2 linked regions of the Oryzias latipes genome follow. The protein of the gene in region 2 interacts with the protein of the main gene of each other region in a pairwise test. Links are inferred from orthologs where the notes say so. Each region holds a gene or a part of one and is shown on either strand. Other genes may lie near its edges.

Region 1 (3,819 bases), on a different chromosome or scaffold from region 2:
ACCTTTATTCTGCATGTCAATTACAATTTGCCTCCAGTCCAAAACAAACACAGATAAACAAATCACCATTACTCCAGTCTAAAGGACTGTGTGCCTTCACATAGGCAAATATAGATTGTAAATTGTTCATTTATGAGGACTTTGATTAATAGAAAATGAATACGAGCAACTACTAAACAAACCTGCTAAAAAAAAACTTTTGTAAGACTAGACTAGACTACACCTTTTTTTTTGTTTCTGAAAAAAAAAAATGAGCGGTCAGTTTTTAATTGCAAAGCATCCATTCTAGCACCATCATGTGTTTTAATGCAAAAGTATTTGACTTTCAGCTCCTAAACCTTAACTATATAGCAGAAAGTGACTGAGGGAAAGAGTTGTTTGAATGTTTTAAATTGCACTAAATCGTGTTAAGACTTGAACACTACCTTTAAACTCAGTGGCTTCCAGAAGCTTCTTCCACTGGGAGCTGACCTCCTCCATGCGGGCAGCCACCTCAGCTGCAGCGTAGTGCTTCCTGTCCAGCAGCTCTTGGCCAGACTTCTGCAGGGCATCAATGCGGCTCTGGTTGGCAGAGAGCTCGGCTTCAAAGGCCTGGTGTTTCTGCACTTTGCCTTGCAGATTGGAGGGATCCTGATGTTTAGAGCAGAAAAACCAAAGTAAACCAATGCAAGGAGCTAAATCTTTTAAACCATTGCTGTTTAAAGAAACATTGGATTTAGTAAAACAAAAAAAATGAAAAGAAAGCCTACTTTATAAGATTCATCAGTGGCCGTCTTCATCTTCTCGTTGATCCAGCTCTTTAGCTCGTCAGAGTCCCTGCAGAACTGCTGCAGGTGGAAAGAGTCCTCCAATGCGGCACGGCGTGACTGAGCGCGTTCATGAAGGGCGTTACGGCGACTCAGCAGCTATGTAACAAACAAAAAGCATGAGAAAAAACAACTCAAAAATGTCTAAAAACAATTTTTTTTAGAAGAGTCCACAGTTGCTGCTTCAACATTGACAGGCTACATCTGTGGGGCTTACAGCATCACGGCGCGTAGCCACGTCCTCTTTGGCGTAGTGGTTATTCTGAATTAGCTTGGTGGCAAATTCATCCAGAGCCTGAAGGAGAACACATCAATAAATTACCAAATTACACAATTAAGCAATATTTGGTCAAATTGTTCAAATGATGCAACTTACAGTGATCTTCTCTTCCTGAGCACTGAGGGATTTCTCAAAGTCTTCATGCTTTTTCAGCAACGCTTCAACACTATCCAGAGAGTCTCCAAGGTCTTCATTCAGGAGGAAAGCCTAAACAATCAAGTGACATTAGAGAAGTCATTTTTGTCTGGTAATATAACCAACATACATGATTTGCTGCTTTGTATGCTTCCGTCACATTTCTCTGTACAAGCTGAGGCTTAATAAGTGCCAACTTTCACCTCTTGCTTGCTCATCCAGTTGTCGACTTGCTCAGTATCCCTGTAGAAGAGCTGCAAGTCCATGCACTGCTCATACTGCTGCCTGCGAACCTCCCACAGCTCCAGCAAAGACTCTTTCTCTCCTGTAAGAACGCCGAGCTAAACACAAATACGACCGATTAAACGTAAAAAAATTAGCTTCACTCTTATTACCATGAAAGAGATGAACTTCCAAAAATGATCAAAGGAGATCTGATGAAAGCACAAATATATTGTAGTTAGTGTATCCCATTAGTTTTCCATTCCATAATGTAAAGAAAATAATGGTTCTTCTATTAATGCAGATAAAGTGTATGTTGATTAGATTATTCAAAGGCATTAAAAAGAATCTAAGGAGCAGTTTTGCTCCATCTTTATGTTGCACTGGGTGTTTAACCAAAGTGCAGAGGAAGGGAGGGCTCTTCATTCACTGGGACTGAGAATGACTTTACCCAAAAATAATGTGAAGACTTTGCATTGATATATTTTTCTTAACGCCCGTTTTCTCTGTTTTTGTCTGATTTATCCTATTCATCAAAATCGGCTTGACTGGAAAAAAAAAGGAAGAGTCTGTGTCCATCTCACAGCAATTTGCATCAGAAATCAATCTAAGAGTGAAGCAAATTAAGCACTGATTTTATGACAGCCGTACCTTTTCCTTGACCTCCTCTGAGGCGTAGTGTCCAGCACTGAGCAAAGCCTTTCCAGACTCATCAGTGCCTCTGAAACTGTCCTCGTGGGCATCAATTTCTCCCTGAAAGACGTTAAAATATTCAGAATGGTACAAGGTCTTGCATGGGTTGCATTAATGCCATTTGCATTAACATAGAATGCTTGTTTTTGTAAAGAACAATGATTTACCTTGTGCTCCTGGTGGCGGTCTAACAGAGCCTCTGCCCCAGCCACATCATTAGCCAGTTCATCAGCATTGATCAGAGCCTTCATCTCCGTTACCCAGCTGATCAGATCCCTGAAGTCTGCAAGGAAGCGCTGGAGCCTGAAAAATTCAGACAGCATGGCAGAAGACTAAGGGACAGAGAAGCTATGAAGAGTGCATGTTATTTAAACAAGACAGTTTTTTTTATAGGATCTATTTCAAATAGTTTGTCTTTAAACACCTTCAACTTCTAAAGATCAGCTTTCACATTTGATGTGCAGCTTCATTGTCATTTTCTTTATTCATTTCCACTTTTTTATTAAAACCATGAAACTGAAAACATTTTGGTTTTTAAAAACAAAGCCCTAAACTAGAGGTTAGATATAGAAACATTTACTGGTAGGAGTCGTTGAGGCGGGTGCGGCGCTCAGCAGCCAGAGTGCGGATCTGCTCCCAGTTGGTGATGAGCTCATCCTTCTTCAGGTGGATCTGAGAAGCATTTTGGGGATGCGTCTGCTGCAAACGTTCCACTTCAACACCCAGTGTATCGACCTGGATCACATGAAAAATGTAGGGGACCAGATTAGAGATGTCCCTAGTTCAGATGATGTCATTTCCGGACATGTTTATCCATACAGCATGTGCCCTGCCTTTTGATTCAGAGCGGCGAGGTCTCTCTCCAAACCCTCGTGTTTGCGCAGAAGAGCCTGAACGCTGGCCAGGTCACGTCCAAAGTCATCAGATGCCATCAGTTGTTCCTTCTCCCTGATCCAGCTGATTGTCTCATCAACATCTCTGTTATGAATTAAATAGTTAAAGTCAATACCATCCTAGAAATGGCTTTTTATCAGACTTACAGCTATGACCAGCGGTCTACAGAGGGCCTTTTGGACCATGTTCACCTGTTGAAGCGCTGTACTTCTGCAGACCCAAACAGCTTGGCCTGTCTCTGCTGCGCCAGGCCCTTCAGCCGCTGCCAGGCCGAATTGACCTCTTCCTGTTTGCGGACTATGAGCTCAGCCTCTGGATGTTCTTCCTGAATCAGCTTGGCCGCCAGCTGGTTGACCTCGTTCACACGCTCTTCGTGGGCTGCCAGATCTGTTTGGAACTCCTCAAACTTCTTCTGCAGGAGCTCCACATGCTCCAGGTCCTGGCCTAGCTCTTCAGATGTGGTGATGGCCTCCTGTACAAGAAATAAAATAAATCGTTTTCAGATTTTTTTCTTTACGATAAAGTTGAGAGGACATGAAGATGTAAACGAAAACATACTGGGCTTGTAACAAAGTAAACCATAAATGTTCTGATAATGTCGTGTTTCTACCAACTCTTACGTTGGGGGCATTTTTTTCTTGAATGAATGACCTGCTGCACCAGCAATAGGATATGCAGCACTAACTGCTAAATGGTAGAAAAACATGATGTGGAAGATTTTAAATATTTGTGACATTATGTGTTAATATTAATGAATGATTAATGATTCAAATGTTTGAGTTTATGATA
Region 2 (3,819 bases):
GTTGCCTAGCAACGGCAAAATGTGTCTGGAGATCCCCGTTATTATGATCTGCTTTTTCTCTACAGAGCTATGGTTACAAGAGAATTTCCCCGTTCTGGGATCAGGAACATTCTAAAAAGTTCTTTTCCATTTTAGTCTCATAACTGAGTTTCAGAACACTTATCGATGTATCGATGTTTCGTGACTTCATGTTTACGCCTGTGACCCCGTGACCTACTTTTGACAGAAAAGTCGTATTCAAGCCAGACGTGTTAAACGTAAAACTAAATGTAATACGATTTTTTTGCAAAGTTGGGCACAACTTTGTCTTCATGCTTACGTTTCTTTTCTACAGTTATCTCATCCCATACAGTACACTTCCTAATGCTGGTGGAGAACGCCCCCTTGTGGTTGCCACTGGAAGTTACAGGCTGCAGACGGCAGTCAACTCACCGAATGACCTGATCTTTAGCTCGAAGCATTTGGTTGAGTTTAGCAGCTTCATTTTGAAGCCTCTGGTTCTCTCTTTGCACAAATGACTCCTGGATGTGGAGATCTTCCTGTTCCTCTGAGAGCTGCTTAAAAACAAAAAGAGCATTTGAACTTTCAGGAGCTGAAGTGCTCTGTTCTGAATCCAGACCAAACACAAAAGCAGAAAACGTGAGGAGTCCAGACTGCTTCTCCACTCCTCTGAGGGCAAACCGGACCACGTCTGCTGCCCCAGTATCAGCCCCTCATGACCTCAGCAACACTGCTGGATTGTATTGACTTGTTAGAGGTGATCAGCTGAGAACACACACTTTACCTCAAACCTTACTAACAGTGTAGGTGATGTGTAGTTTGGTCATCTGATTGATTTTCAGCAACAATGTATAACGGAGCTGCTTAAAATAAATGAAATGAAACTATTGGCCTGTAGAGCCAGAAATAAATATAGTCCAGACAGAGAAAAAACAGGTTCCTAATAACCCGTAGAGATGAAAAGGCCCCTCATTTGATGATCTGATGATTCATAAATGTGTAATTCATCAATATCAAGCCTGCTGGGGTTTTGTTTTCCGCATAAATAATCTCCCTGGTTCTCTTGACAGCATTTTCTTTAAAGTTAGAGCAGGTGTCTCAAGCCTGAGGCCCCGGAGCCACATGCTGCCCCATTGTCCCCCCATTATGGCTCTTAGAAGAAAAATGCTAATGATGTGAACAAAGAATGGATTTGTGGTTTTGGTTCATTTGTTTTGCTTTATTCCGTTGTTTTTCGTTTTTTTTTTACATTTTAAGATAACTGAGCAAAAAGATGAAAAGGGTTTAATTTACTGTCACTAGTTTATCGATTGAATAAACGTAAAGTTCATTTTCTAAACCTCTGCTGATCAACAGTTACTGTTTGCAGGCAAAGGGTTTAAGGTACATAAATGCATTTTCCTGTGTAGATTTTAAAGGAAAAAGTGGATTTTTCACCAATGTTGTCATGTTTATATGGATTTTAAAAGATTAAAAAAAAGACGACGGTGGACGGAATGATAGAAAATGACGTGTTTGATGTGGTTTTCTTGCATTTTATCTCCAGTTAATATGTTGCAGCAGAAGGATGTCATTAGACACAGGGTGCATTTTATTTTGAAAGGAACGTGTAATGTAAAGTAACTAAAAATGGTTGTATGTAGAAAAATTTAGGAGCGTTATTATTAAACTAAAGTTAATATTAATGACTCAAAAATATAAACAAAGTGCATTTTTCTGCACATTAAAGTGGGACTTTGTGGCTCTGTCTGTAAGAAACTGAACCAAAAGGCTCTTTCTGTGTTAAAGGCTGCAGACCAAACATTAAACATAGTTATGTTCTTATAGAACTGAAGAATAAAGAAACATTTTAGAATTTGACTATTGGATTACTAAACTGCCTGACATTGACCAGAGATTTTGATATTCTTCTGTTTGGTTCCACATTTAGCGTCTAGACACTTTCCATTGATGGACCTGAGGGACGTTTAGCTGGATGTGAGGAACCTCTGACCTGCTGCTCTCTCAGGGTCCACCCCGACGACTCAGGCTGTCCGACGGCGTCCGGAGTGCATGGGAGGGGGCCGGGCGGCGGTCTCCGCAGCTCAGCTTGCAGACGCTGCAGCTCCACACAGCACTGCCAGTGCTGCCGTGATGCCGGCTGGGCCTGCAGAGGAACAGATAGTTTGAACCGTGGCCCCGCCTCCCCCTTTAAAATCCACACGTCCATCCAGGTATTACCTTCATCTGAAGCAGCTCTTGGGCCAGGCTCCGGTTCAGGGCCTCCATCTCTGTCAGCTGGCTTTGATGCTGGTCCCGCTGCTGCTCCCGGTCCAGGGGGTGTTGAGGATTCTCCTGCAAGAACGGGAAGACTTCAGAGTCAGGACAAACCTACGCAGGGTTTTCCTGGAAGTGGTTACCTGTGAAAGATCTCTGGAAGCTCCGCCGCTCGTCTGCCTGAGCTGTTTACGCTGAAGTTTGTGGTAACTTCTCTTTAGTTTATCCAACTGGAAATGCAGGTGTCTCAAAATGTTATGTGGAAAACAATTGTAACGTCAGGAGAAGTTTAGACTGTGAGGGGCCTCACCTCCTCACTGACTTTCTGCAGCTGCTGCTCATATTTAGAGACTACATCTTGGGGGCAAACCTGAACGTCTTCCAGCTGTTTGTGGAGTAATCCGATCTGAAAGGATCAGAAACATCTTCCAGGCTCATCCGTCCAGTTGCTGTGTCAAATGTGCTAACATGTCGTGTCAACATCAGTCTGCTTCACCTCCAGTTCTCTGCGTTCAATGGTGGCCCTGGAGGCGAGGAGCTCCTCCTCTGTGCTCTTCAGCCGCATGTCCAAAGCCCGGACCTCCGCCTCCCACTCCCTCTTCTGATGGCTGATCATGAGGTCGATCTGCCTCATCAACTCCTGCAGCTCTGGCTCACATGCAGACAGCACGGAGCTGGGAGGCAGGAGCAGAAAACACCGTAAAGATAAAAACTTTTAGCTCGGATCGTCACGTGGTGTCGCGATATCCCTCTTACTTTAGATCGCGATTGTTCGTGGATTCCAGCGGAGCCTCCATGAGTTGGTTTTACGGTTTTTTCAGTCTTGAACTTCACTTTGGCAGTGTAAAACGGCTAAATGGTTGGAAAAAAGTCCTAACAGCTCAGCCTGCTTCAGTTCATGTCCTTGAAAAAAAAGAAGAAAAAACGTCAGTGTTTTTAAATGTTTTTAACAAGAGTTTATAGCTTAAAAAAAGACTAAGTCGTAGCGGCTCTCGGACAATGATAACATTAACCGCTACTATGACTACAAAACACTTCCTGAAATAAGGCGGTAACCCCGCCCATCCTCCACGACATCATTACGTTGGACGTTATTTATGGGCTTGTTTTTTTTAAAGGCCAAAAGCGCAGTGTAATGTAGGCCCACCGATTAGAGTTGTAATAAGTAAAACAGATAGGTGCACATCATGATAGAGGCAGCAATTATACAAACCTATTAAAGAACAAGGCCCGTATACCCAGTACACAACTATACTAGATAAGTACATTTGTGGAGGGGAACGTAGGCACGTGGCTCGTTGGTCTAGGGGTATGATTCTCGCTTCGGGTGCGAGAGGTCCCGGGTTCAAATCCCGGACGAGCCCTTATTTTGGTTTCGAATTACTTTTGGTTTACAGGCTCAAAGCACACAAAGTGGGTGCCTCGTCGAATGCCATATGCTTAGAAAAGGTTATTTAAATCACAATCGTCTTGGTGATGTAAATGCCTGAAGTTACGGCATATTTTCTTAGCGATGTCATTGAGAGTAATAATAGTACAATTCAATTTCACAAAGTAGAATAC

Evidence for each region.
Region 1: the proteins of cep63 (region 2) and sptan1 interact in a two-hybrid assay, tested with the Homo sapiens proteins (2 studies listed by BioGRID and IntAct). The link is inferred for Oryzias latipes from reciprocal best matches to the Homo sapiens genes CEP63 and SPTAN1.

What each region holds. Positions count from the first base shown.
Region 1 is NC_019870.2:24,685,597-24,689,415, forward strand, and holds part of sptan1 (spectrin alpha chain, non-erythrocytic 1), read right to left. Parts: intron 3,503-3,819; coding exon 3,222-3,502; intron 3,115-3,221; coding exon 2,970-3,114; intron 2,872-2,969; coding exon 2,717-2,871; intron 2,440-2,716; coding exon 2,304-2,439; intron 2,197-2,303; coding exon 2,095-2,196; intron 1,563-2,094; coding exon 1,425-1,562; intron 1,294-1,424; coding exon 1,183-1,293; intron 1,102-1,182; coding exon 1,024-1,101; intron 906-1,023; coding exon 750-905; intron 631-749; coding exon 426-630; intron 1-425. UniProt on the Homo sapiens protein: Fodrin, which seems to be involved in secretion, interacts with calmodulin in a calcium-dependent manner and is thus candidate for the calcium-dependent movement of the cytoskeleton at the membrane.
Region 2 is NC_019862.2:2,682,832-2,686,650, forward strand, and holds part of cep63 (centrosomal protein of 63 kDa), read right to left. Parts: intron 3,621-3,819; exon of another isoform or gene 3,549-3,620; intron 3,304-3,548; exon of another isoform or gene 3,160-3,303; 5' UTR 3,054-3,159; coding exon 3,013-3,053; intron 2,931-3,012; coding exon 2,753-2,930; intron 2,663-2,752; coding exon 2,567-2,662; intron 2,487-2,566; coding exon 2,400-2,486; intron 2,335-2,399; coding exon 2,221-2,334; intron 2,147-2,220; coding exon 1,994-2,146; intron 558-1,993; coding exon 433-557; intron 1-432. UniProt on the Homo sapiens protein: Required for normal spindle assembly.